Linked DNA regions of Arabidopsis thaliana. The protein of the gene in region 1 interacts with the protein of each later gene in a pairwise test. Each region holds a gene or a part of one and is shown in the gene's direction. Other genes may lie near its edges.

Region 1 (6,089 bases):
GACGGCGAAATAATTTGTTTAGTATAAGTTTTGTCCATTCTTTACAGGTCAAAAACATAATTAATACTAATAACGACGATATTTTAATGTTTCCTCTTGCATGAAAAAGCATTGAAAATGACGGAGTTGATTCACTTTATTGGTGGCTGCTTTGGGCTCACATTCAACATGTGCCAATTAAGAATTCTGAGGGTCGACCTACCCATCCTCATTCACTCATAGCGACAATTCAAAACAGATCTACTGGGGCTTTAAATAAGGGTAAGGCCTTGTTCCGAACTGGGCTTTAGTAAGATATTATAACATTTCTGTTCCAAATACAGTACATCAAAACTTGAATCTAACTTATATCAACTTCAATAATCATCAATTCATCAGTTAAAAAAACTCCTTCTTTCATGGTTTAGTTTATCAAAGATATGCATTTGATTTATAAGAAAACCCAAAGAGTATTTGTTACCTAGTCGTCCCCGGGTTTCACGGGGTTACAATAAGAGAAACAAAATGGGCCACATAATATTTATTTATTTAGTGATTCTGTCGTTTAAAAAAAAATTAGTTTAACACATTGTCAAAGTTTGAACTAAGGAACTTGTAACTCAAATACTGAAACTTTAACCATTAGACTACATTTTTATGCAAATTCGGCCAAAACTAAATAATAATATGATTAGCGGCCGCAAGCTTATGTTTTGCTTGCTTGGCCTTGTGGCCGGCTAAATAACCTAAGTATATAATCAATAAATTACATAAACGACCGGATAAATCAGAACTTAATTATAATGTTAAAAGTAATTAAATGAATGATGACCCTCGTCGTCTCTCCTCTTAAAACACAATAATCTCATAAATACAATTTTTATATGAAGTCTTCACAAACTACTATAAATTTCCCAAAGTTGTTCTCTCTCTTTGTCCACTCGAAGACTCATGGGGATAAGAAGGCACTCGTGTTATGGGCTTCGGGGCTTTTTATTGTTCGCCCTTTCGAGGACCTTCTCACATGTTTGGACTTTTGAGTCTAAATGCCTTATTTCCTCACGAATGACGTGAACATTTTTTCGTCCTGAACTCAAAAGTATCAATTACACACTTCACACTACTAATGGTCAAGTTTTTTCGTATTTGAAACTACAAATGTAAGTAATATATGCGATAAATTTATTATCCTCTGCTAGTAAAATCCATTAAAAAAAACTACCAATGTGGGTGTATGTTTTCTTTCAGTATATATAAAGAGTTTTCGCAGAGAGCACATATCGATGGTGGTACATCAAATCTGATCATTCATATCTAAATAATTGTTGTTGAGTTTTCTATATGTGTGGAACGTTAGATTGCTTAAGCTAGAAATTGACACAAGAGTTTGATCACCGAGTTCCTGCCTCCTGGCCTCTAACCGGTACGTCTCGGGTGGGAACTGTCTCCCACAACTTTTCACTATCAAGCAAAAAGTATTACAAGCACTAATAGAGGTTTCTCTTCTCCTTGTTACAAATTTAGAAATTAACTCACACACAAAAGACAATAGAAAAGGAGACTATACCGACACGAAGACTATGCCCATATCTTCACAATTGTGCTATTATTTACCGTTCTAATCTGGAAAAAAAAACAGCGCACGTAGGAGAATTGGGCACGAAGACATGAATGGGACACATAAAGGATCAAAAGAGTCATCATGGGTCTGCCATGATGAAAGTTAAGAAAGTTCCAATACGCGCGAAACAAGATTGAATGCGACTTCTCTCTATACCAAAAACGAATCTCCCAAGTCCCAAGTGAATATTGTGAGCCACTAACTTGTTATTAACATTTTGAGACAAAAAAAAAATTTGTACGTGTTTTTGCCAAACCCACTTGGCCATGACCAATCAGAAAAAGACAAGGAAGATGTGTATCTATGTGTAATGAGGAGGCCACGCCATCAGTTTACTTGCACTTTTCCAACTAGACGTGGCCTCTCACCGATCTCAACCTCACTTTCCTCTCATTTCTCAAATTTTATTGGCTACGTGTTTTTGTGTTTAGCGTTCAACCCAAATATCGATATATTCTTCTTTTTTTTTCACATTTTTAACGATTTCGAGCAAAATAATTCGATTTATTTGTATAATTTTAATATGGTAGTTTTACAAATAATGAAACGAATGACCAACTGATTTGTTAGGTGTTACAATAAATATGGAAAAAATCTCATAAGTTTGAAAACATTTATTCTGAGGAAACTTTTTCTTCCCCAAAAGAAAAAAAAAGTTTAAAGTGGAAAAAAGAAAAAAAAGGAATAAAAAGTTTGAATTCAGTTTTTTTCTTTTCTTTGATAGATTTCTTTCTACTTATTTATTACTCTACTACACACCACACAAAAACAAAAATAAAATAAGTAATCATAGTATCCCATAAATCAGTAAAGATAAATAAAATCCAGAAAATACTGGGCCTATCATTTTCCTTCACCAACTCTATAAATGAAGAGATAATCCTACAGTTACACCTCAAACCAACTCCATCTCACTTCTCAAGTCTTATAATTTATTCATTTCTCTCTTCTTCATCGATCTTCGGCTTTTAGAAAACCTAATCAGAAATGGCAACGGCGTCGTTTAACATGCAGTCAGTGTTCGCTGCTCCTTCCGGTGTATTGACTACACGCAACATCAGAAACACAAACCAACTCTTCTTCAAGAGGATTGCTCCGGTAGGAGTCAGATGCATGGCTCAGGTATATATACACTAACCTCATAGTCCTTCCACTTCCCTACGTTACTTATTTGACTTTTAATCCTGACCGTTCCTTACATTGACTATTTTTTTAGGGCGATCCTATCAAGGAAGATCCTTCTGTGCCCTCGACCTCGACTTCGGCCACTCCACCACAAATGCCACAGTCTCCTCCTCCACCAGTTAGCAAGCCTAAGGTATGATCTAATGATCAAAGTCATTAATATATATCACTAGCTAAAAAAATGAAGCTAATGAATAATTTTCTTATTGTCTAGGTGAGTACGAAGTTTGGAGATTTGCTAGCGTTTAGCGGTCCAGCACCCGAGAGGATCAACGGGAGACTAGCAATGGTTGGATTCGTGGCGGCCATCGCCATGGAGTTATCAAAGGGAGAAAACGTGTTTGCTCAGATCTCTGACGGTGGTGTCGGGTGGTTTCTAGGAACAACAGCGTTGTTGACGTTGGCATCGATGGTTCCGTTGTTCAAGGGAATAAGGGCAGAGGCAAAGTCAAAAGGGTTCATGACTTCAGACGCCGAGCTATGGAACGGTCGGTTTGCGATGCTCGGTCTCGTTGCGTTGGCCTTCACCGAGTACGTCACTGGTGGGACTCTAGTCTAAAGCTAAAGCTTTTTGTTTGCTAGTTTAAGGACAAATTTGGAGAATGATTATGTAACGCATAGATTGATTTAATACTATGAGTTTTAAACAGTGTGTCAACATGAATCAAAATTTAAAACCATGAAAAAAACATTATAAAAATTTATTTGAAAAAGTACTTCAAAAGTTTTCTTATAAGATAATGTGAATGGAGAAGAAGAAGTAAAAAATAAATTTTAGCTTCTATCCAAGGTTTGAGAGTTTATGCATTCTTTTGAAATGAATCAAGAGCCAAGAATAATTAATTATGCTCTTCCTTGTTATTATCGACCAATAGAGTCATCATGTGTCTGCCATAATGAAAGTAAAGCAAGTTCCAAGACGAAACGAAATTGAATGCGATTTCTCTCTAACAAATCACCTCATCTCAATTCTCAAGCCCATGGGTTAGTCTCATCAAAGCCCAATCAAAGCGTCAATGCTTCCCAAGAACAAAAAAAAATATATTAAGATGAACAAACAAAAAAACACTTAAAAGAGGAAAGATCTGGCCACTACAACACTACACGATAGTACGATCGATGAATATAATCGGAAAGATTTGAGTGGCTCAATTACATATTGCTTATACGACGTCGTTTTGAGTAGCATCATTTCGTTAATATTTATGTAGGAGACTGAAACAAGACAGAGAAAAGAGAATCTCCGAGGAAAACAAAAGTTGATGGCGACGTCTAAGCTTCAAGCTCTCTGGAATCACCCGGCAGGACCAAAGACAAGTGAGTTATCACATTGTTTCATCAATAATATATTACTCTTTCTTCTTCCGTTTCAATTAAGACTCTATTGAAACGTTACTATTGGAAAATGTTGAATTGTTTATAGTACAGTTCTTGACAAAAAAAAATCTATATCACTTTAAATCCTCTAATGAATAATATATTCTAATTGTAAACAGTTTCTCTCTTTTTTTGTTGTTGTTGTTGTTGGGTATTAATCAGTTCATTTCTGGGCTCCAACATTTAAGTGGGGTATAAGCATTGCTAACATTGCAGATTTCCAGAAACCTCCAGAAAATATTTCGTACCTTCAGCAAATTGGTAAATAACTACTACTCTTCAGAAATCTCTAATCTTTCTTGTTACAATTATTGTTATAAACATATTATCCATAATTATTGTATTAGCTGTGACATGCACTGGAATGATTTGGTGTCGTTGCAGCACTATAATTACTCCTGTAAGTTTTGTTTGCTTTTCGAGTTTTACTTTTGTGATTGGATTCTTGGTTTTGGTTTATCGATCTGATTCTTTGGACTTTTGTTTTTTTTTAACAGAAAAACTGGAACCTGTTTAGTGTTAATGTTGCTATGGCAGCTACAGGGATATACCAACTTACTCGCAAAATAAAGTGAGAATCAAACCCACTTTTTTGTTTTGCTTGTGTTTTAACATAGATAACAAATTCATCAGCTTACTATATAAAACATTTCTTTTGCTAAGTTAAACGCAATCAGAAAGGTTTGGTTTGGCGTTTACAATCAGCAAAGGAAATTTTGCTTAATATGTAATGCAAACAAAGAGTCGAAGCTATTTTAAACTCGATTTTTATGATGATTGTCTATGATAGTATGATTTTATCTTTTGATACATCAATGAAATGCTTATTAACTTTTTTTTTGATATTAGGTATGATTATGTATCTGAAGCAGAGGCTGCTGTTGAAATTGAAGGATGATGATGATGAAAAAGATGAAACATTTGACATGTGAAAATGTTCGTTCATTAGTACTGTCTTGTTAATGGACCTCTAGTAGCATATGCCAATGTTTGGATTTTTGTTAGATAGTGAATGGTACGTTACATGCTTGCTAAAGATTTTTATATTATTTGGGACAAGATTGATAGTTGAGTTTATGTAAGATTAATCAGTAATTAGATCAAAATAATAACTCTATATCTCTTAAAAATATGTTACCTCTTTATCAATGACTAGATGAGTACCCGCACTACGTGCGGGTTTACGTATTATTTACAAATTATTTTATATAATGTTTGTTCATATAAAGTAAAATTGAATGCATAGGTTTTGAAACATAAATATGATTTGTAATTGTTTTTGAAAAGCCCAACTATATTAGTTCATCTGAAAAACGAATGTGATTGAATTGTTTTTATTGTTGTTTTAGATTCTCAGTTTTTTTTTTGAATTTATATATCCTTGCTTTTTCAGTTATATGTATAGATTGTGAGACGGTGAAATTTTAGAAAATTTATTTCTTACACTAAAAATATAACATGTCTTTATTAATCATATCTCTGCATATTCAATCTAAGCATATTCAACTTGATGTTCTTGGAAAGTTTAGTTAAGTTCTTGTCATAATCTTATATCTTACGTATTAGTTATAAGGATAGCTCCTCAAATATCTTTCAAATTACTTGTTTTCTTAGCATAGATCTCGAAAAGCTTAGATATATTTAATCTGCATATTCATTTAGTTTCTTTCATAATAATCGTCTAATTTTTAGGCTAGGAATATGTGTAACATGTTTGGATTTTATCATCACTTTAGCCACTTAAGTGGATCTCAAAATTAAAGAGGATATATTGAATTAAAAAAATGTAAAAAGAGTGATGTTTCAAGTTCTCATTAATTATATTCTCATATTTTAGTTGTTATGTTGAATTAATTACTAATTATGTATTACTTATTTTATGAAGTATAGGTGGCAAGCTCTCATGTGCTGATGTGTCAAGTTGTGG
Region 2 (8,003 bases), on another chromosome or scaffold:
AAAGAAGTCCCTGTCCTCAATGATCTTGGAAATTACGGATGAGCTCAAACAGGCCCAAAGCAAGGTACAGGAACTTGTGACTGAATTGGCAGAGTCTAAAGATACACTCACACAAAAAGAGAATGAGCTTTCTAGTTTTGTGGAGGTACACGAGGCCCATAAGAGAGATTCCTCAAGTCAGGTGAAAGAATTAGAAGCACGGGTGGAATCAGCAGAGGAACAGGTTAAAGAATTGAACCAGAACCTGAACAGTTCAGAGGAAGAGAAGAAAATTTTATCTCAGCAAATTTCAGAAATGTCGATCAAGATCAAGCGGGCGGAAAGCACCATACAAGAACTCAGCTCTGAGTCTGAACGATTAAAAGGGAGCCACGCTGAGAAAGACAATGAACTTTTTAGCTTGAGGGATATCCATGAGACTCATCAGAGAGAATTATCCACTCAGTTAAGAGGTTTAGAAGCGCAACTGGAATCATCTGAACACAGGGTTTTGGAATTGAGCGAAAGTCTGAAGGCTGCAGAAGAAGAAAGCAGAACTATGTCCACGAAAATCTCAGAAACTTCAGATGAGCTTGAACGGACACAGATCATGGTACAGGAACTCACAGCTGATTCGAGCAAACTGAAAGAGCAGCTCGCTGAGAAAGAAAGCAAACTATTCCTTCTGACAGAGAAGGACAGCAAATCACAGGTGCAAATAAAAGAACTAGAAGCAACAGTAGCGACACTGGAGCTGGAACTAGAGTCAGTTCGTGCCCGTATAATAGATCTTGAGACAGAGATTGCAAGCAAGACCACCGTAGTTGAGCAGTTGGAAGCGCAAAACAGAGAAATGGTTGCTAGAATCTCAGAACTTGAGAAGACAATGGAGGAGAGAGGAACTGAACTCTCAGCTTTAACTCAAAAACTTGAGGATAACGATAAGCAATCATCGTCTTCAATTGAGACTTTGACAGCTGAGATCGATGGCCTACGAGCAGAATTAGATTCAATGTCTGTTCAAAAAGAAGAGGTGGAGAAACAAATGGTGTGCAAAAGCGAGGAAGCCTCAGTGAAGATTAAACGTTTGGATGATGAGGTCAATGGTCTGAGACAGCAAGTGGCCTCACTTGATAGCCAGAGAGCAGAACTCGAGATCCAACTTGAAAAGAAGTCCGAGGAGATATCTGAATATCTGAGTCAGATTACAAATCTAAAAGAGGAGATCATAAACAAGGTTAAAGTTCACGAGAGTATTCTAGAAGAAATAAATGGTTTATCTGAGAAGATTAAGGGTCGTGAACTTGAGTTAGAGACTCTAGGGAAACAGAGAAGTGAGCTTGATGAGGAGCTGAGAACTAAGAAAGAAGAGAATGTTCAAATGCACGATAAGATCAACGTAGCGTCTTCTGAAATAATGGCCTTAACAGAACTGATCAACAATCTGAAGAATGAGCTTGATTCTCTACAGGTGCAGAAGAGCGAAACCGAAGCAGAGCTTGAGAGAGAGAAGCAAGAGAAATCAGAATTGTCGAATCAGATCACCGATGTCCAGAAAGCATTGGTAGAGCAAGAAGCTGCTTACAATACGCTGGAAGAGGAACACAAGCAGATAAACGAACTATTTAAAGAAACTGAAGCAACACTAAATAAGGTAACTGTGGATTACAAAGAAGCTCAAAGATTGTTGGAGGAGAGGGGTAAGGAAGTGACATCCAGAGATTCTACAATTGGGGTTCATGAAGAGACGATGGAGAGTTTACGTAACGAGCTGGAAATGAAAGGAGACGAGATCGAAACTCTCATGGAGAAGATCAGTAACATCGAGGTTAAGCTACGCTTGTCGAACCAGAAACTGAGAGTAACCGAACAGGTACTAACAGAGAAAGAAGAAGCTTTCAGGAAAGAAGAGGCTAAGCACTTAGAGGAGCAAGCATTGCTTGAGAAGAATCTCACCATGACACATGAGACTTATCGAGGTATGATCAAAGAGATAGCAGATAAAGTGAACATAACAGTAGATGGGTTTCAATCCATGTCAGAAAAACTCACGGAGAAACAGGGGAGATACGAGAAAACTGTAATGGAGGCATCAAAAATACTGTGGACTGCGACGAATTGGGTGATAGAGAGAAATCACGAGAAGGAGAAGATGAATAAAGAGATAGAGAAGAAAGATGAAGAAATAAAAAAGCTTGGAGGAAAAGTAAGAGAAGATGAAAAAGAGAAGGAGATGATGAAAGAGACTTTGATGGGACTTGGAGAAGAGAAAAGAGAAGCGATAAGGCAATTATGTGTTTGGATCGATCACCATAGAAGTCGTTGTGAATATCTTGAGGAGGTTTTGTCTAAGACCGTTGTGGCTCGAGGCCAAAGAAGAGTGTCGCAGCGAACTTAAGGACTCAGTGCCATGGTACGTTGTTTATCTTTCCCAAGCCTAGTTTCCACCTCACATGAATGCAAACAATGAAACAACATATATGTGTTTATTAGGTTTTGGACTCTGGTCAATCAAGAAGCTGGTGGAGAGGTATTTTTGGTTGGGGACTTTTGGTGTACTTGTGTTCGATTTTGTTGCACTTTTATATGTTTGTTAACTTTTGTTGTATTTTGTAAGTCAAAATTTTTGGTTTATTGTGGGCAAAGTTGGTGGTGGTTTTTATGGGAGGTCAGGGAATAAAGGGGCTCACACAAATGGAGTTGATATTTTTTTTTCTTTGGGCGTCGGATTGTATAGAACGATTAAATGCTACTGTTGGTATAGTGCTTTTGCTTGTTTGGAATTTGTTATAGTATCATCTTTGCTCTTTCATAACAAAATTATACACATCGCTTTACAGAGTTTCGTTCTCTCATTCATTTCTTATTTTATTGGGTTTTTTTTTTTTGCATTAGCAGTCGTTATATCTCGCCTTGAATTTCTAATGTGAACTAGTTTGAAATGTTTGAAATGTTTATTCTTTAATAGCAACCACTTTTTTTTCAAGTGTTTTTCACAACCGAAAAAGTCAGCCATGTGAATGATACACAAAATAAGTCAGCCAGTAAGGTTTGGTGATGTTAGATCAATCAAATATTTGAGAAAAAATTCCATAACTAGTTGATATTTCCTAAATCGAAGTTAATTGAAAATTAAGTACAATTTGGCAATATCTTAAATTATTAAATTTTAAATAGAAACTCTATTCACTTTTATGAGTTTATGGAAACACACTACTTTCTCCTCTAAAATCAGACAGTGATTATACTTTGACCTTAAAATTTGAAAAGAGTCTAACACGTTATAATTCCCAATTACTTTATTATCTGATTAATTCACCAAGATACATTAAATCTAAAATTATGTGATAGATATTCATATAAATCATATTGGATTATTCCAACAAAAAAAAAACTCTTAAAATTTGTTTCCTTATTTACAAACAATACATTACTGAAAATTTCTAAATAAAATATCAAAAAGTAATTTCAAAACCTTGTTTTGTCAATTTAATATTTTTATTTTTACAAAAAAAAATCTGAAACATGCAAAGAAGCACAAGTAAAGTACAAGTGGAAATGTATGAAAATAGGAATCATAAAACTAATTTTTTAATTTAATGATAGGAATCTGAAAAAAGCAAAATTTTATCACATCCCGAATAAAGAGGAAAATGCAAAATATGTCTCCTTTTCTCACTATGACAGGTTGTTTCTTTAAAGAAGCAACGGAATTTAACATTATAGCAAACATTAACTATCACCAGCTATCATGCGCCCACCTCTCCACCGTGCTCTCCATCATCATCATTCCATATATAAATCATTCACTTGTAGAATCTTCTTCTCTTTCACACTAAAATTCATCGATGACGGATCCTCCCAGACCCGACCCGTTTCCTGTTACCCGACTCGATTCCGACGCCGGTGCTCTCTTCGTCCTCCAATCAAAAGGTTAAACCCATATATTTATGATATCAATCTCCAATTTTGGAATTTTAACTGATTTGAGAATTAATTCTCAGGCGAGTGGTGGCACGCCGGATTTCATCTAACGACGGCGATTGTTGGTCCGACGATATTGACATTACCATATGCGTTTAGAGGATTAGGATGGTGGTTAGGGTTTGTTTGTTTAACGACGATGGGACTCGTTACTTTCTACGCTTATTACCTCATGTCTAAGGTTCTTGATCACTGTGAAAAATCCGGCCGCCGTCACATCCGTTTCCGGGAACTCGCCGCCGATGTTCTTGGTATCATTCAAAATCTCTTCTTTGTATTTATTAATTTGCTTTTTTTGGATAAATCCGTAAAGGTTGGATCGTGTTTCGATTTGGATACTTTGACTTCTTGTTAGATTCGCCATCATCACACGTGTCTTAGTTTACCGTACCGGTCTAGGTTAGGCCTGTGTATTTCGGTTTATAGATCGGTTTACGTCATAAAGTCTGGTCTTTCCGGTTATTGAGTTTTGGGTTTAAGGGCCGATTTCGAATTTTGAGCCGGTTATTGTGATGTGGTGCAGGATCTGGATTGATGTTTTATGTAGTGATCTTTATTCAAACAGCTATCAACACTGGAATTGGTATTGGCGCCATTCTACTTGCAGGTCAATGTCTTGATGTAAGAAAGAAACCTAAATTTTGATTACTTGTTAAACAAGGTACTATAAGAACCGTACGGATCATCCTCTGTTTTTGTGTTACTACACAGATAATGTATTCGAGTCTTTTCCCGCAAGGAACGTTGAAGCTTTACGAGTTCATTGCTATGGTGACTGTTGTGATGATGGTTCTCTCACAGCTTCCAAGTTTTCACTCTCTTAGACACATTAACTGTGCGTCTCTGCTTCTCAGCTTAGGATATACTTTCCTCGTCGTTGGGGCTTGTATCAACCTAGGTATAATGATTCTTACGTTAGCGAAGAAACAACAACTTACTAATGTTCGAAAATTTAGATTCATTGCCCAGTTTTGGTTCTACAGGTTTGTCGAAAAACGCTCCTAAACGTGAGTATTCTCTAGAGCATTCGGATTCAGGGAAAGTTTTTAGTGCCTTCACATCAATTTCGATCATAGCTGCTATTTTCGGAAATGGAATCTTACCCGAAATACAGGTGAGAAATGTTTGCAATTTATTCAATACAAACATTGTATGTTATGTGTTTGAGATTTATGAGATGATTATATGTATGCAGGCAACTCTTGCTCCACCAGCCACAGGGAAGATGTTGAAAGGACTATTGTTGTGTTATAGTGTGATCTTCTTCACGTTTTACTCTGCTGCAATTTCGGGATATTGGGTTTTTGGTAACAATTCGAGCTCTAATATCCTCAAGAACTTAATGCCTGATGAAGGACCGACTCTGGCTCCTATCGTGGTGATTGGCTTAGCTGTCATCTTTGTCCTTCTTCAGCTTTTCGCCATTGGCCTTGTAAGTTTATAACTAGTGTGATCGTTATTCGATGTTACTTGGCTGTGAGACGAGTGACTAAATGTTTCTTTTTTTTGGTAACTGGTTAGGTGTATTCTCAAGTTGCGTATGAAATAATGGAGAAGAAATCAGCGGATACAACAAAAGGGATATTCTCAAAACGCAACCTTGTGCCGCGTTTGATACTAAGAACACTATATATGGCGTTTTGCGGGTTCATGGCAGCGATGCTACCGTTCTTTGGGGATATAAACGCGGTGGTAGGAGCGTTTGGGTTTATCCCACTCGATTTCGTGCTGCCAATGCTTCTATACAACATGACCTATAAGCCAACCAGACGGAGCTTCACGTATTGGATAAACATGACGATAATGGTTGTGTTCACTTGTGCAGGACTCATGGGAGCTTTCTCCTCCATTAGGAAACTTGTTCTTGATGCTAATAAGTTCAAGTTGTTTAGCAGTGAAGTTGTTGATTAGATGGTTTTGATAGTGTGATAAAAACATAAACAATACTTGTTTTGTGGTTACACTTGTACATGAATTTCTCGAGTTGATTCATTATCACACAAAATGCAAAACCAAACTAGTTACAAAATGCAAAACCAGACAAGGATTATCACACTTACGTCAATTGTTCTTGAGATGAATATGTTTTTTTTGTTAAATGATTTTCTATTTAAATACAAAGTTCCTTTGGGTATAAACACTAAACAGATTACTGGGTTCAGTAAACTCTCTCAGAGTGTGTTAATTTTCAGTATTCGTAGCTGATTGGTTCGGTTTCGGACCGATTGGATATCCACCAATCCGAAATAATACATTACATATTATTAATTTTATGCTCAATTCGGATCGTGTAATTCAGAATTTCATATTTGATATAGTAAATTTCAAATAATTTTGATAATTCTGATCGGATAATTCGGATATTTTGGATTTCATCGGATAATTCAAATCCAAATAAGAATTAAAACCATACATATTTTGGTTTCGAATACACTTGGGATTCTAAAATATCAATAAAAACCGATTTAAGTCTAAAAAAATTAGAATCATAAAATTGTTTGGATTCTAATCGGATTCTATCAGACCTAATCTAATCTGATCCGATCCAAAATTCGAATGCCCAGACTATCACATACTATGGTCATGGATTTCGGAGCGGATACTCCAATCTCATTTGCATTTTGTCTTCTTCTTCTTTTTTTTTTTAATTATTAAAAATTACCTTAAGAATCTAAATGGAAATGCAAAACAATGTGGACGTAAAGAACTTAGGATCAAGGTAATCTAGCAACAACAAAATAAATGGATATATAGTAAATTTAAAAATAAAATATAGACACAATAACAAGGTACTATTTTTTAATAGCATTTCAATATAACAACTAAAAACAAATCATGAGGAACAAAAAAATACCGAAAAAAGCTCGCGCATAGTGCAGATACTCACCTAATTATATATAAAGGTTTGTATTCATATAGTATCTTTTGGCCATTTTCTGTAAATATATATTATATTGAGAGTATGATTTGAGGATCTTCATCATAAATGAAAAAAATAAATATATGTGGGGACAAGATCAAATTAATGATTTATCATGTGATGTATCAGCGATAGTATTTGTTAAATACTATTTCTAAGGTTTACGTGTTAGGATTAGGAATTTAGGAACGAGCACGAATAGTCAACATACAGAACCTAACTCGTTTTGTGTTAATTGTTTTAGACACATGTGTGTAAGTCAGTAAAAGTTTTTTTCCTAATGGCAAAAGTAATTCATCCATTCAAGATAGAAATGGCCATTTTCTTTAAGAGAAAACCAATCTGATGAAATAGAGTTTACTTAGAAAAAGATAATACCACATGATCGTGCTTTTTTGCAAGACACTCATGTGGAAAAAGAGTGTTTGAAAGAGCTAAAATCTTCTAATTCTGACAGTAAAAGTTTAAGCTCGTTTATTTATTACATTTTTCGTCATTGTCAACTAACTATACATGAGTACTTCATAAAATCCATGTGATTTAGCTTACAAAAAAAAAAAATGTAATTACGTACGTGTATAGAACTTAAAATTCGCTAATGGTTTGGTAAACGCTAGAGTTGGGGCTTAATAATGGTTAACCAAATTTTACCACAAGTCACTAAAATATGATAGTTTAGTATGATTATTGTAGTACTATAATATATAGTCAGTTGCATTACATTCACGTGAAAATTCCACCAAGCTCGGGACACGCGTAGAGGTAGGATATCACTTCTCACTTTCCAGACATTTAATGATTTTTAATCGAGCTTATGGGTCAATCATATCTATCAATTTTTATTTTCTTAAACATATCTATCAATTACTCTAAATTATAATTAAAAAAATGTATTAAGCTTTGTGATATACAAAATTATGGTCAGTTCAATTAGTTGAGAAACTTTCAGCATTAATAGATCTAAATTTGGCCACATGAGATAATTATGTATTTTACTAGAAAAATGTTAAATTAGAGCCAAAAATTCCAAAATTTCAACCAAAAACTTAGAATTTTTATTTGTCTTTCACTAAGAACGTCGTTATCGTGGGATTAAATATTTAATTAATAAACATTAGCT
Region 3 (9,114 bases), on another chromosome or scaffold:
TTCGATGCTTTGTGCATTGGCTGGATTGGATTTTTGGTTGTTCTTGGGTTCTTTGTTGTGATGCGGCTTGGTTTACATCGCGAGAACCTTGTTAAAGAGTTTCAAGGTTCATTAGAGACGGCGGTTTCGTCTAGGAGGGTTAGATAGGAGAGGGTTCAGTTGACCCCATGACTTTTATATTTTTTTTATTTTTTAAGGTTATTCGATTTTTTCCGGCCAAAAAAAAACATTTCCCCAAAAAATTTCAAAAGAGCGGGTCAGAATCTAATTCTTAAAATATGAAACCCCGCACGTATGTGCGGGTCAGAATCTAGTTATATTATTATCAAAAGAACTATAATTGTAGGATTTATAGCAATAGTTATATGTTTCTTAGTCCTCTTTTATTAAGCAAATGTAATAGCAAAGAATATTTTTAAAAATCAGCAATGAAATTTTTTTGAGTTAAATAAAGAATCATATTATAATATACTTACATTAATATATGACTTCCATAAAAAATATTTGTGGCTCCGCCACTGCTAGTGGGTGTTCTCAAACCTGTCTGAGTTGCTTTTGATGTGTCATGCTCTGGATTGGTAGCCAGAGGCAGTTTCTTTGGTTGTTCATTGGTGCTCACATGTCGTCGGTTCCGTTTTTACATTTAGTTTCTGGAGAAGCTGAAGTGTCCTTTTGCTATGAGGTTTGAGGACTGATTCACATAGGATATGCTGGTGGTTCTCGTTTGTGTTTTTTGTTTTATCATTTTTTCATAGTTTTTGATTTTTTTGTTTTAATTTCTTTTCGTTTTTCATGTATATTTTGCAACAAATCTAAATTTAGTATAAATCTACATATACATTTTTGCAGCCATTTTGTGAACTAAATCGTGTAGTTGGAATTTATTTACAATTGCTGCCACTAAATTTTAATGTTTGTTTTTGATAATTAGAGAAAAAATATTCGAATTAAATATTTGACATTTAACAATCTTCCCAAAATCTCTCCCAATTAACTACACGATTAGTTACTAAAATAAAACTTCCAAAATATTTAATATCATTTAATTACTATAAAATTTTTTCTTTTGATATTGCTTTTCTGCATGACTATAACAATTCGATTATAATCGTCAAACCGCAAAGATATTTGATAGCATTTAATTACTACAAAATTACAAAATATTTAGACAATGATTCATAAACATATCATAAATAAGATCAATATTAATAAAATATATTTGTTTTTTTTACGAGACGGGTTGACGGGACAGATTTGACAGGACGTTACTTAATAACAATTGTAAACTATAAAATAAAAATATTTTATAGATAGATACACTTTGCAAACTTTTATATATGCTACCTTTATAAAATAAATTGTTCCTGCGGTGTACCGCGGGTTAAAATCTAGTACTTAATAAATTAAACAAGAAAAGAAAAATATCTAGTCATTATGTGTGAATCTTACGCCACGAATAATTAATAATTAGTTTTTTTTTTTTTTCGTCAGTTTCATTAAACCCATAAAAGGGATACATGGTGAAAAGGATCCCAAGTACAGAAAGCCCAATTAACCCAATATAGCTATTACAATCAAAATAGACGAACACGTATGGGTAAAAGGGACATGTGTATGTGACACGTGTGTAACATCTGCTGAAGGTGGAAGAAGACGCAACCGACTCATTCCTAGCGTTTCCACCGGGCTGAAACTCCGATCAAATCCACCGAACTCTGCTAATCAAATCATCGTTTGCCATCCAAGGATTTTACCAGAATTCAGTTAAAACTCCAATCACCAATTCTCTGCCTTTGCTAAATTCTCTGAGTGAAAAGAAACAGGAATCCGAGTCATCAGATCTATGAACTGCTGGAACATACGACATGGCGAGAGGTCAGATCAGTCGCAAAACACGCTCTTCTGAACTGTTCTACGCCGGCCATCAAGTCCCACTCATCACAATTCACAATCTTAAAGAGAAACCTTCATCATTAGCCGATTACGGTCCATTAGGGGTATGAAGGATTTATTCTCCCCTTGACCAGAATTGAGAAACTGATGATTCTTGAGATTCTGAATTAAGCACTCAGCTTCTAATTCTTCTTCTCCAAAAGAAATCTAAGATCTGCAAAAGGAGAGAAAAACAAAACAAAAAACTAGCCATAGTGGCTAAGATAGACTCGCACTTGGGCGAGAATAGACAAAACCGGATTTCACCGGAAACAAAATCCGACAAAACATCGTCGGAAATAAAGGAAAACACTTTTCTCTCTCTGAAAGATTGTTGTGAGAGAAGAGAGAGAAAATAATTGATTTGATTCTAATGATTTTTTTTTGTGAAGATTAATTAATAATTAGTTATATGTTTATTTTTAGAAAAGCAGATTATCTCCAACAAATATGAAAATTGATTGGGTATAATATGCAGATGTGCATATTTATCTAACTCAGCACTAGTATTTTTGTTTTTATTTATGTGTTTTCAATTTTCATTAAGAAATAAACTTAAAAATCCGGTTAAATTATTATATATTTTTAGTCAGTTCTCTATTCTGAAGATTTTTATTTTATTTTATTGTATTATATTTTTTGTTTGATAAATAAAAACTCATAAACATTTTTGAAATTAATAATTCAGTAACAAATCTGTTTTTTTTTGGCCACATAGTAACAAATCTAAATAATCTTCGACCTTACATCACAAATTCACAACGGTAGTTGAAGACAGTTTAATAGTAAATACGAAAGTTTGTACCAAAGAATCTATTACAATTACTTGGAACTTGGAAGATTTAGTTTCAAGATTTTTAAGTTTTAATTATTAAACTAAGGGACAGTTGTACCCAAAAGATAAAATATCTCTGTCACCTCCAACAACAAGTCTTTATTCTCAAAGATTTGTTTTGTGACGCGTCGGCACAAGTTATGCCGCATAACTATCATAAATTATTTTATTAACAAAAATTTATGTTATGTTCGTAATTTAATTATACAAGAGAATATAATCACAACTAAAATATTCTACTTCTGATTTTCTTATTAATAAATATATTTACTCGGAACATCTTTTTGTAAGAAATTGGTTAACTTTACAAATGCGCACATTAAACCTATTTTCGAAATGTTGAAAGAAAAAATAAATTAACTTAATTTGCATTTGGAAATTAAATCAATTATGGAAAAACCGATGATTCGACGAATCAAACAGAACCGCGTCAAGCAATGCCTCTCAAATCAATCGTGTTCTTAACGTGAGAGAGAGCCCCATTGTTTCTCAAACACGATCGAGAATAAACATTACAACAACAACAACAGAAAAAAAAAACAGAGAGTTAAAAAAAAAAAGAACCAGACATAATGTTGTGTTTCAGATCTCAAAGAGTGTTTATACTTGTGTCTCTGTGTTTACTCTCTTCGTTTCTTGTGGTCGTCACTGGAACAACATCGATTACTGGTAAGACTTAGATTTTTCAAAAGTTGTTTCTCCATTTTTTTAATAGTTATAAGATTTTTCAATTTGTGTTTGATTGATTCAGGGGTTGGTAACGAAGAAGAAAGAGGTGTAGAAGAAGAATGGAGAACAAGTGTAATAGAAAGAGTAATTGCAGAGGAAAGTGGAGAGAACTCATCTCTGATTTTAGCTGCAAAGAGAACAAGAAGAAAAGATCCTGCTGATAATTTCAAACTCTACACTGGTGGATGGAATATAAGCAATTCCCATTATTTGACTGTGAGTCTTTTATTTCTGTGGTCCAAAAATGTTTTTTTTTTGTTGTTGTGTGAAATCTCTCTCCTTACCAGGTGGGTATTGCTTCATTTGACTTGGGTTCTTCTTAGATTCCTAAATTTTGATTAAAGTTATAATCTTTACCATCAAAAGTCTAGTGGAGTTTTGACTGTTTTAACTTTTAAGGTGTAGTTATGATGCTCATGATGAATTAATCAATAGCATAGGATTCACAACTAGTTGGTGCTTGGTTTACTTGACTTGGGTTCTTCTTATATTCCTAAATATTGATTAAAGTTATAATCTTTACCATCAAAAGTATGGCTAAATGGAGTTTGACTGTTTTAACTTTTAAGGTGTAGTTATGCTCATGATGAATTAATCAGTGGATTAGGATTCATAACTAGTTGGTGCTTGGTTTACTTGACTTGGGTTCTTCTTATATTCCTATATTTTGATTAAAGTTTTCATCTTTACCATTAAAACTATGGCTAACTGTAGTTAAATTTTAATTAAAGTTTTGATTCTATGACTAAGTGTAGTTAGGGTGTTTGGTTTATTTGACTTTGATTCTTATATTCCTGAATTTTGAACTTTAAAAGTTTTGATCTTTATCATTTTGTAATATTCACTCTGGATTAATCAATGGAAATTTGGATTAGCTCTATGACTAGCCTTGTTACTTGAATCAGTTTTATTATGCTTATATAGATGAAAGATGTTTGATACCAATTGATATTTTTGATGAGTCTTTTGTATGGTATTGGTGACATACTAATCAATCTCTATCATTCTTTGCTTGTGGTGCAGTCTGTTGGTTATACAGCGGCGCCTTTCATTATAATAGCACTAGTCTGGTTTGTGTTCTTTGGGCTATCATTGTCTCTGATTTGCCTTTGTTATTGCTGCTGTGCCCGTCAATCTTATGGTTATTCCCGGGTTGCTTATGCTCTATCCCTTATCCTCCTCATCTCGTTCACAATCGCAGCAATGTAATTCTCACGAGCTATTCTATTCGTCATCGTTGTTTCTTGCTGGATATTTATGTATCTTGTGTTTGATATTCCAGTATAGGATGTGTTTTTCTTTACACTGGTCAAGGGAAATTTCATGCTAGCACAACCGATACTTTGGACTATGTCGTGAGTCAAGCGAATCTCACGTCAGAAAACCTCAGGAATGTGTCAGATTATCTTAATGCAGCTAAGAAGGTTGATGTGCAATCCAGCATTTTGCCACAAGATGTTCTCTCGAGTATCGACAACATACAGGGAAAGATAAACTCGTCCGCCACAACTCTTTCTGTGAAAACAATGGAGAACCAAGACAAGATACAAAATGTCTTGGACATCATGTAAATATTCTGTACCATATCTTTATCTTTCATCTGTTTTTCACCTTTTTGCTTATGATTTTTTGTCTCTAATTGTTGTAGGAGACTTGCTCTCGTCATCATCGCTGCTGTGATGCTTTTCCTTGCGTTTATCGGATTTCGTAAGTCTTCATGTTATATGCATTAGCAAATTCTTTAACTTGCAGAACTTAACTTGCATTATTCTCATACAGTTCTCTCTATTTTTGGACTGCAATGCCTTGTATATACGTAAGTGAAGTCTCATTTTCTTATGTTCTGTTTTACATTGGTTCCACTATATGCTGAAAAGTTTGTTGTGATTATCAATGGACAGGTTGGTGATCCTTGGTTGGATTCTCGTCACGGTTACCTTCGTCTTATGTGGTGGATTTTTACTTCTACACAAGTGAGTTCTCTTCTCTCACTACCATTATTTGTCTACTCAATAATTGATAGCTTTCTTCAAAGAAAAAAATGGCTTCTGCTTTGTCAGCGTTGTAGGGGATACGTGTGTTGCGATGGACCAATGGGTCCAAAACCCAACAGCTCACACGGCTCTAGACGATATTCTACCGTGTGTTGATAATGCAACCGCGAGAGAAACATTGACTCGGACTAAGCTTGTAACATACCAGTTGGTCAATCTTCTTGACAATGCCATTAGCAACATGACCAACAGGAATTTCCCGCCTCAATTCCGGCCTCTTTATTACAACCAGTCAGGTCCACTAATGCCTCTACTCTGTAACCCCTTCAACGCTGATCTCTCTGACCGCCAATGCCAGCCTGGTCAGGTCCATCTGAACAATGCAACCGAGGTAATCCGAGGATTCCATCATAATATGATATATAAATTCCCAAGTCATATCAGTCTGTCTTATGATTTGTTTTTATGCAGGTGTGGAAGAACTTCACTTGCCAAATTGTAACACCGGGAACATGTAGTACACCGGGACGGTTGACACCAAAGCTTTACAGCCAGATGGCTGCAGCGGTTAATGTAAGCTATGGTTTGTACAAGTACGGACCGTTCTTGGCAGACCTACAAGGGTGTGACTTCGTGAGGTCTACATTCACTGATATAGAGAGGGATCATTGTCCGGGACTTAAGAGATACACACAATGGATCTATGTGGGTCTTGTGGTGGTGTCTGCTTCTGTAATGTCATCTTTGGTGTTTTGGGTTATATATGCGAGAGAGAGGAGGCACCGGGTTTACACAAAAGACTACAACGCTATGCACTCTGAAGATCCACGAAGCAAGGGCCACTGAGAGATTATGTTCTTTTGGAGGTTTACCCTGTACATTATGGTGTGAGAATTTGGTTACCTTCTGTGTAGTGAATGATGGAAAGAATCTTTGATTGTTTTTACATGTTTTGGGAAGTACTTTGAAATGAGATATATATTAATTTGTGGAGCTACAAGATTCTTAATATTGTTCGAACTCGCTGTCTGACAAATATTTTGTGGGATTTTGACATCACTATCTCCGATGCATGTCGCTATTCTTTTCCTCTGAGTTGATTTTTCTCCAATGTATTCTTCTAATTTTTTTCTCTGTTTTAAAGGCATACATTATTGCATCTCCAACCCATCTCTATTTTTTCTCTTATTTTTTTTTTTAAAATCATTTCCAATGTATATCTCTATATTTTACTCTAAAAAGAATATTCTTAGAAATATTCTATTTTTATTTTATATACTAATACCTTTTAATTATATAATTTACAATTTGATCCATATATTATAGATTTGCAAAATTTCCATAAAATATTATATTATTTTAAATTAAACACTAATTATTTATTAAAAAAATATTACATCATATAACAAGAATAAAACATTACAAATTTTTTTAAAATAATACCATTAAAATATTTTTCTCACATATGATCAACTAAAACATTTTAACTATCTTGGCAGATCTACACGCAATTTACCAGACTATTAAATTACTACTTGTATGTTTTAGTTTTCTTATGTTGTTTATTTTAAATTTAGTACTTGTTTGCTTGTTAAGTTTATAAAACTATGTGTTGTAATTGTTGTGTGTAAAATGATTATATGTATTAAATAAAAAAGTTTAAATTTGAGGGACTAAAGTATAAAAAAAAAATTGAATTCAAAAATAAAGTAGAGAATAGAGTTGCTCTATATAGACCAAATCTGCAGAATTCTCTATTTTAAAATCAATTATAGAGTAGGGTTGGAAATTTTTTTTGCATTTTTACTCTAAGATAGAGTAGGTTAGAGATACCCTAACAAATAGAAATCTTTATTTTTAAGAAACTATTGGAGTAAAAAATTGAGATTTCTATTTTTTTCTATATTTAGAAGAAAAATAAAAACAACCATTGAGATGGTCTTAGAGCAAAATGCCTCTACAATAAAGTCATCGTTAAAATGGAGAAAAGAATATAGATGTTCATTGAAGATGTTCAAAGAACGGTCGACTTACATATTAGATTGATAATGTTTATTACTCGAACTAAGGCTACACCGACGACATGATGTAACGTTGTTGGGTATAGTAGCATCAAATCTTTTCCCTTGACATTTGAAAAAATTTACGTGTTTAGTTATGCTATTTTTTTAATCATGGATTATTAATTCTTTATAACAAGCATGTCATCTCATCGATAGATGATTTATCTTCTTTTTCTTTTGTGAAAGCTTGATTAAAAATAAGAGAGAACAAACTCTAGTAAAGGAGGAGGTGTTGCAAGACTGTAAAGCCGACTTTGCTAACGTGTCTGGCTCCACATTAAAGCTTTTAGAAAATTTAAATATTTTAACTTTTTTTACTATATATTTTATAATAATTGAAAATAATTTAAATATAAAAATAAATAAAAATAAATAATAAATCATATATTTATATTTAAATTAGATATATAGGATTTAAGAAATTAGACAAATTTTTTATATTAGTACAAACTGATAATATTTAACCCGCAAAACATCGCAGAACGATTGATTGTTTTTAAAATCATAAATGTACAATTGTAAATCTTTTTAAAATCGTAATTGCAATTGTAAGTCTGAGATTAGTTTTTTACATACTCATAATATTGAGAATTGTTATGAAAACATTTATGTCTTCTTACATCCATTACAATTCTCAATAACCCTTTATTTTTATTGAGGTGTCACATGTACACAACACCCTTAATAGACCTTCTTTCGAACACATGCCCAATGAACAAACGCCCAGCCCACCATGATTTCTTCTTCTCCTTCTCCGATACACCAAGGATGGTTTGTAAACACAAAACACATCAATCACCAGAGTATACCTTCCAGTAGCAAATAGAAAAACTCCCAAAGATTCACTCCATCAACCATAATTTTCTTATATTGGTAAGTATTCCTTCCCAAATTCCTTTAATTTTAAACTTTTGTTTGTTTTGCGCAATGATTGATAGTATGATTTAAACGATGAATCGATGGACATTATGGTGATTAAGATATTTTTAAAATTTTGAAGTGACGTCGTAGTTATGCTAGGGAAGAACTGTTTCGCTATATAGCCAGTGATCGGAGGCATGGTGTGCAATTACCAACCATCGCTACCGATTATTTGTGAGTCTCTAAGATCCACGATTAACTCTTCATCGGGCTTTCTTGTCTCGCTATTGATGTCCAGGCATTGTAAGCTCTCGTGACTATGCCATGTTCATATGTTTACTATTTTCCTCTGTCAAAATTTAGGGCTTCATATTTTGTTTCACTACAAGAAATTTGTTCATTTTTAGCGCTAAAAATCTGCTATCTTACATTATTTATAGCAAATTCATAAACGCCATGTTCTCGGCAGCTATGGTAGGTGTCACTCCTACGATAGCAGTTTTGGAAACGCTATTATATTTAATGATATAATAGCAAAATTAGAACGCTGTTTTAAATAGTAATATAGCACTTTAATTTTTTGCTAAAAACTAACGACGATTTTAATTTCGTGTCATAATAGGTTATTCTATGTTAGCAATTAGTTCACGTTGCGAACAGTTTTTTTTTTGCATTACGTTTGATGCTATGATATATGATT
Region 4 (7,079 bases), on another chromosome or scaffold:
ACCGATTTCTCCTTTATCTCAAGACAGCTCGGAGGCTGAGCGCCGGCTTCGAGAAGCGGAGGAGAGGCTACGCGATGCCATGGCGGAGCTTCAGCGTAGACAACGCTCTGCGGCGCGTGGATCTCACGCGGAATTGTGTGATCACGCTGACGTTTCTTGCGTCGCCAATGCCATTGGGAATTTATGTCAGAGCTTTCTTCTCTCTTATGGTGTTAGAGTTGGGATCGGGATTCTTCTTCGCGCTTTTAAGCTCGCTAGGGGACAGTCTTATTCGTCTCTTCTCGATCTTAAGGTGAGGAATTGATGAATTGGAATTTGTTTTTGTGGCAATTTCTGGAGATTTAGAGTCTTACGAGTCTCTGCTTTAGTGTTCCATTTGATACGGTTGTTTTGAAACTATGGCCAATGTGTTATTGACTTATCATTGTATATGCGATTCACTCACACGTGAACAATGGTTGCAGCAACTTGTTTCAGAGAAAGATTTGATAGTTAGGGAGGAAGCATGTCGTATTGGTCTACTTTTTGGTGGCTTTACTGGCTCGTATCATGCCCTTAGATGCTGTTTGAGGAAGTGGAGAAAGAAAGAGACGCCATTGAATTCGTAAGTTTATTTTATTTATTTGTGTTGCCTAAGATTTCGATTGTTGTATCTCTTTTCTTATAATGCTTCTACTTTTTACTTTGTGCATAGTGCTTGAAAAGTATATTCCTTATTATGACTTTGATTAAGGGTGGAGCAGAGTCTTAGCAGGTTCAGTTGCGGGTTTGTCTATCTTGGCTTTAGATGATTCCAACCAGCGTCGCACACTTGCTCTATACCTCTTGGCTAGATTAGGCCAGGTACATCTAATGGTCATAGTATTGTCTGTCGTACAGAGTAATATCACCACACAGATGTTTTTTTCGGAGTCTGATTTTTTCTCTTATTAATAGGCGGCTTATAATTCCGCTAAGTCAAAGAACAAGTTCCATCTTTGGGGTAGCCATTGGAGACATGGAGATTCGTTACTTTTTTCTCTTGCATGTGCTCAGGTATTTGAGATTCTTCTCTTTTCTTCCTGTTCTAGTTAGTAATGGAGATAGTATAGACGTTGAAAGACATTTTTGTGTACCATACGTATTCTCTCCAATGTGATTTGGTAGTGATTATGGTCAGCAAGCTAATTTTGTTGCAATGAGGTCGGTGCAGGTTATGTATTCCTTTATAATGCGTCCTGAAACCTTGCCAAAATCATATAGAGAATTTATTCAGAAGACTGGTCCAGTTGCAAGGCCTGTCTACCAAGCTGTAAGAGAGTGCTGCAGAGGTGGTCCAATTGATGTAGCCTCCTTGTCAGCCTATATTTCTAGTAAAAACGAAGCAAGCGACGTGAAGGTGGAAGAGTTTGCTTCCATCATTCCCTGTGCAGCTATTCATCCAAACACTAACTCGTGTCTGGCCCAAAATGCTAATGCAATGTCAGCTACATTCAAGAAAACATTTCCATTATATTTCTCCCTGACTTTTGTCCCATATGTTGTTCTACACCTACAAAAAGTAAGACTGTCCCTCAATATTTGCCGTTTCAGTCTTTTAGATTCCTATGGTTTATGCATTAGTCAGACATGATATGTAGTTTCTGATGCCATCCTACACTTTCATTTCAGTTCATGGCTTCTCCTTACCGGACATCTTGGCTTGCAATCAGAGATTCAGTTAGATCGACGTCCTTCTTGTCTGCTTTTGTTGGGATTTTTCAGGTAGCTGGTTTTTACATTTGATTTGTGTCCCCTCATTTCATACAATTCACATAGTTTCCTAAAACCATTCCCAAATGTATGTGCCTTCATCCCATTTGCATTAGGCTTTCATATGTGCCCATAGAAAAGTTGCAACCAAAGACCACAAGCTCGTTTATTGGTTTGCGGGTGGTGCAGCAGCCCTCTCAGTTATGCTGGAGAAGAAACCGAGACGCTCTGAGCTTGCTCTATATGTTCTTCCCCGAGCAGGAGATTCTCTGTGGGAGATACTTGTTAATCGCCACCTTCTTCCCGACATTAAAAATGCTGAGGTACAATACAATTACAAACCACTTTTGTTATTTCCAACTTTCTTCCCCTTTGAGCAATGGAACTGATGTTTTATACAATTAATGGAAACAGGTGGCTTTATTCTGTGGATGCATGGGAGGAATAATGTACTACCTCGAATATGAACCTGATACAATGGCTCCGTTTCTGAGGGGACTCATCCGTCGGTTTCTTGCTAGCCAAATAAGCAATCCTAGCAGCAAATACCCTCATAGTTCGTCCTATTCTTATCTCCAGACCCTAGATGCATTGAAGAAACCGAAAACGCAGGAGAGCCGAGAAGGCGAAACTCCGAAAGCCGAAGAAAAGTATAACTTGGAAGCAATTCCCGGTCTTTAGAAGTATAAGCAGAAGCTGTCTGATACTATATTAGCACCTGACGTTGAAATTGAGCAAACCAAAAAGGACCCTTTACGGAATCATGATTTTGATTGTGTTTCAGGAAGTTAATGTGAAACTTTCCAGAAAGAAAGGGTTCCTCCACACAGAAAACTTAAGAGATTGAAGTGATTCATAGGATTTAGGAGCCTGTTTTTTATTTTCTTTCACGTAATAACAACAACTCCACTGTCTCTTCTTTATTTCAATGAGAAGTAGCAGAATGAAGAAGATTTATGGCAAGCGAGTCAAGCTGTCTTGATTTGTTAACACCAACACAGTGTTGAAACTTGAAACAGATCACTAGATATATTCCTTTTTGTCTTGTTATAATCTTGATCTATTGCTTAAAAACTCACTTCAAGAAAAACACAGTTTTGTTTAGTTTCCTAATGCAAGTTCTCTCAACCGATGGAAAAAAAGTCAATTCGTCTAAGATTTGACTCTCATACCCAAAAACTATTGTATTACTCAAATTGTTGAAATTTCATCTGTATTGGTCGGAGCGGATATGAATTTGCACATACGATGATCTCAGGGTCAGAAAATCAAAAGATAAAGTAATGCAAACAACTGACACTTGTAAGCATTTGTTCCACTTTAAGGAATACTTCATATGCTACAAAGTCAAATGTCAAAGGGAGTTTTGTAATAGAAAATTTCAAACAAGCGTCGTGATGGTACACACCTTCATTGTATATTCAACTCGATCTTCTCTCTCTCTTTCTTCTGCATCATCACCAAAATGGATGCTTTTGAGACTCATTTACCGAAGGAGATCGTCTCTGATCCTCTCTATAACTCCTTCAACCCAAGGAGTGAAGAGTATGTCGTCGCCGGAAAGATTCTCAGGCAGCGGTCAGTCTTTGACTTGGACAAAAACGGGTTTAGCCCTCTTCATGCAGCTGCGGCAGCCGGACAAGTAGAGACTGTGAGGGCAACTTTGGGGGTTGAAAAGAAGCTTTGCCGCTTAAAAGATAGAGATGGAAAGACTCCTCTACATGTGGCAACGATGAGAGGGAAAATCGATGTGATCAGAGAGATTGTAGCGAGCTGTGTTGATTGTTTAGAAGACGAGACCGTACAAGGTCAAACTGCTTTGCATCTTGCTGTTCTGCACCTAGAGATCGAAGCAGTCATAGCCATTGTTGAGTTGATCACAGAGACAAATCGATTTGATGTGTTGAATAAGAAAGATGAACAGGGTAACACTGCTCTTCATCTTGCAACCTGGAGAAAAAATCGCCAGGTACGACGAATTAAGTTGCGGTTAAATAGTTTTCTTCCAGTGGAATCAAACTCTGTTTTTCTTTTGCCTACAGGTGATTGAAGTGTTGGTTCAGGCAATACCAGAAGAATCAAGGTCATTTGAGGTGAATGCTATGAACAAGATGGGTCTATCAGCGATGGATTTGCTGGTTATGTTTCCGAGCGAAGCTGGCGATAGAGAAATCTATGAGAAACTCATCGAAGCTGGAGCTCAGAGAGGGCGAGACATTGGCACTACTAATGTCGAGAGAACCACTTCTACTTCCACATGCCAAGAGAGAACAATGAAGTCCCAAAGCCATAAAGAACTTGTCAAGTACTTCACTTTCAAAAAGCACAGAGACTCACCATCAGAAGCACGTAGCGCATTACTAGTGGTGGCTTCACTAGTCGCCACAGCCACGTTTCAGGCCAGCTTGACCCCACCAGGTGGAACCTGGCAAGATAGCTCAATACCTGCTGTATCCCAGAACACAACGAATGTGAATACTACAAATCAACAAGCTCATACAGCAGGGCAATCTATCATGGGGACCTTCAATGGAGTTGCTTTCACTTTGTTTGTGTTCTTCAACACAATTGGGTTTTCGGTTTCACTGTCTATGCTCAACATTCTCACCCTCGGGTTCCCATTGCGGTTCCAGCTTCAGATCTGTATGATTGCTATGTATTTCTCGCACAACACAACCATGGCCAGCATTGCACCTGATCATGTCAAGCTTTACTGCATTCTCATCACATCCATCCTCGCTGCTACCACCCCGGGTTTGATGAGGTTGCTCGAGAACCCTATTGGTATGCTCGCTCACTTCTTGGACTCCAGGTCACAAAAAATTTGCTCCATGATTTCACTTTCATGTAAACGTTTTGTAACATAATAGTAGCCAGTTCAATATCTACCTTATTTCAAATCACAAGGACTTGTTGTTGCATTGTCCAGAAATCACCAATGTTATTACGAGTGATATTATGATATATGGAGACTTTTTTCTATGAAGAGACATATATTATGGAATACCCAAGAACACAGATCAACTCATCCTTCTATGTCGTTACAAATGCATACCTGATTGGTCTGCAAACACAGAAATTTGAGATTTTCTTATTCATCTGGGAGTTTACATATTTTGTGTGTTTTGTTTCCTATCTTACACTCGATCCCACAAAACTTAGAGGTGAAGATACGATTCTGCACACAACCACCTGCTCTAAGCTTCCTAAGTTCCACGTCAACAGCTCCCTTTAGGGAAGTTCTAATATCACCCAACGCCCAGACCAAGGATATATGCGGCCGCGGATCCTAAAAGAAAAATTGAAGCAGACTCGATGGGATAAGTGTCCATGACGATTTTCATTGGCTAAACAGTAAAATACAATCAAGCTGTAAAGTACTATATAGAAAAGCAAGTGGACCTTGTAGAACTCCGGCAGATTGTGGAGCTTGTAAACTTCATTAACAGCATCAATTTGCTTACTTATCTGAATTAAGGATATGATAATCAGTACAATATCTAACACAAGGTACTGAGTATGCAAAAATCCAACATTCAAGGTTAACTCTTGTTGTACAACATACCTCGGATAGTCCTGAAGTAGTGATTTCCAAAGAAAGGAAAGAGCGAGTATGGTCATCATTCACAAAGACTTCCCACTTATTGAAATCTATCAAGTATCTGTCAAAAACAGAACGGAAAACAATTCACAAACCCCATCGTAATTTGGGTAGTATGGTAGGCAAGAAATGATCTTACCTCTTCTGCAACTGAAGCTTTTGCCGAAGCATAGAAATCACCGAGTTAATCTGATGAACACGTAGTGGAACGTTTCTTCCTAAGCTTATGTGGAACTCTCTCCCCAAGGCACGCTCAAACTTCTGATCATCCTTGCATAGAATGCTGAGTGGCACATCAGCCTCTACCAAATGAAGATGAGGAACAACTGATGCAACCTTCTTTAAAAAACATACAATCTCCTTCTTTGGCAGTGGAGGTATACAAACTAGAATCCCAAAAACAAAATAAACAATGAGTGAAAGAGAAAGACAAGTGATACACTTCATCAGGCCTGCACTTCATCAATACATTCTCAAACACATACGTATCCTCTTATACTAAACAACCACTTCAGAATTCAAAAACCTCGAAACTCTCAGAAATTTTAAGCTACGAAATGAACAAATACCAGGTACGTAAACGTGCAAAGCGTAATTTCCATCGACATGAGGAAAGTTTCTTACACGAACTCCAGGCTCTGTTGAGAAGAAATCCAGTGAACCTTCAAGTTCAGACGAAATAAAAAATAAGTGATGAGTGAAATCTCTAAGAATTTGATTGAGGAACAATCACAGAGACAATTGATGAGCATCTTCACCTGTGGATACAATGGAATCGAGAAGCGCAAGCGGTGGAGGAGGCAAGGAAATCGAATCTTTCTCTCCAGAATTTGCAGTAACGGGACTCGCCGGAGAAAGATCATCGGTATCGGAATCCGATGAAGAGTCGCCGTAGGACGCTCTCAATGCTTCCATTGCCCGTAAATTAATTAAAACAGAAAAACCAAACAGAGAAACTATTTAAACCAGATTTCATTTTCAAGCATAAACCAGATTAAACCAAAATGATTCTAATATAACCAAATTAAAGCGAACCGAATATAAACCGAACCATCCGCGAAGACAAAGCAGCACAATTCGGAAACCATTAACGGGCCGAGAATGGGCCTTCACCGAAGATCAAAGCAAAACCCTAATTACGTTCCCTATAAATTAGACACCAATCGCCGGAGGTTTCATCATTATCAGTATTCAATAGCATCTAGGGTTCTCTTCTTCTGTTATTCAATCGTCGTTTTTATGGGTCTTTTTGGATGATTGATAGTTTTTAAGTTTCTTTATAATTCTCTAATCGAGAGAGGGAGATTGGCAGTGATGACTCGGAAATTTCAAGCTCAACAGACCGGAATTAGGCGTTTCTTCCAATTTATTGGTTGAGTCGTTTCTGTGTCGATAACCCCGCTGATCTGAGCCTTCCTCTCTTTTCATTTGATTCTGATTTGTTTGCGTTTTCGAATTTGAAATTCTCTGGTAATCGATTTATACGTTTTTATCGATTTTGAAATCGGTGTTTGCGCTTTTTTAATGATGATGGGGATTTTGGAGATTACGATGAGGATGTACAGCTCCCTCTTCTGATTAAGCTGAAGAGAATTGCTGGCAGAATCGAACCTAAATCACTAGCCACTACTGAGTTATCCCCTTAATCCCCATAAATAGTTTATAAGAGTTTGTTTTTTGGTTTTCTATTCAGTAAAAACGAATTTAGATGGTAGATAATGATGAAGCAAAATTAATCTAATCCAAC

Evidence for each region.
Region 2: the proteins of ELIP2 (region 1) and AT5G41800 interact in a protein complementation assay, tested with the Arabidopsis thaliana proteins (one large-scale study listed by BioGRID).
Region 3: the proteins of ELIP2 (region 1) and AT2G12400 interact in a protein complementation assay, tested with the Arabidopsis thaliana proteins (one large-scale study listed by BioGRID).
Region 4: the proteins of ELIP2 (region 1) and AT5G51160 interact in a protein complementation assay, tested with the Arabidopsis thaliana proteins (one large-scale study listed by BioGRID).

Annotation. Positions count from the first base shown.
Region 1 is NC_003075.7:8,415,786-8,421,874, forward strand, and holds ELIP2 (Chlorophyll A-B binding family protein), read left to right. Parts: upstream 1-2,456; 5' UTR 2,457-2,587; coding exon 2,588-2,722; intron 2,723-2,816; coding exon 2,817-2,918; intron 2,919-2,999; coding exon 3,000-3,344; 3' UTR 3,345-3,540; downstream 3,541-6,089. Other genes in the region: AT4G14695 (Uncharacterized protein family (UPF0041)), read left to right, coding at 4,048-4,102, 4,325-4,423, 4,510-4,562, 4,660-4,733, 5,012-5,060. UniProt on the Arabidopsis thaliana protein: Probably involved in the integration of pigments into the mature light-harvesting pigment-protein complexes.
Region 2 is NC_003076.8:16,730,015-16,738,017, forward strand, and holds AT5G41800 (Transmembrane amino acid transporter family protein), read left to right. Parts: upstream 1-3,648; 5' UTR 3,649-3,827; coding exon 3,828-3,912; intron 3,913-3,983; coding exon 3,984-4,214; intron 4,215-4,486; coding exon 4,487-4,584; intron 4,585-4,674; coding exon 4,675-4,861; intron 4,862-4,946; coding exon 4,947-5,077; intron 5,078-5,158; coding exon 5,159-5,395; intron 5,396-5,484; coding exon 5,485-5,874; 3' UTR 5,875-6,079; downstream 6,080-8,003. Other genes in the region: CIP1 (COP1-interactive protein 1), read left to right, coding at 1-2,377.
Region 3 is NC_003071.7:5,002,366-5,011,479, reverse strand, and holds AT2G12400 (plasma membrane fusion protein), read left to right. Parts: upstream 1-3,037; 5' UTR 3,038-3,339; coding exon 3,340-3,436; intron 3,437-3,518; coding exon 3,519-3,712; intron 3,713-4,519; coding exon 4,520-4,701; intron 4,702-4,778; coding exon 4,779-5,063; intron 5,064-5,144; coding exon 5,145-5,203; intron 5,204-5,275; coding exon 5,276-5,312; intron 5,313-5,397; coding exon 5,398-5,469; intron 5,470-5,556; coding exon 5,557-5,881; intron 5,882-5,961; coding exon 5,962-6,336; 3' UTR 6,337-6,596; downstream 6,597-9,114. Other genes in the region: AT2G12405 (uncharacterized protein), read left to right, coding at 1-138, 587-688.
Region 4 is NC_003076.8:20,789,084-20,796,162, forward strand, and holds AT5G51160 (Ankyrin repeat family protein), read left to right. Parts: upstream 1-2,989; 5' UTR 2,990-3,196; coding exon 3,197-3,700; intron 3,701-3,773; coding exon 3,774-4,598; 3' UTR 4,599-4,758; downstream 4,759-7,079. Other genes in the region: AT5G51150 (Mitochondrial import inner membrane translocase subunit Tim17/Tim22/Tim23 family protein), read left to right, coding at 1-292, 465-604, 744-843, 937-1,035, 1,193-1,540, 1,651-1,743, 1,848-2,054, 2,146-2,412; AT5G51170 (U6 snRNA phosphodiesterase-like protein), read right to left, coding at 4,823-5,020, 5,134-5,199, 5,297-5,393, 5,472-5,718, 5,902-5,994, 6,091-6,247.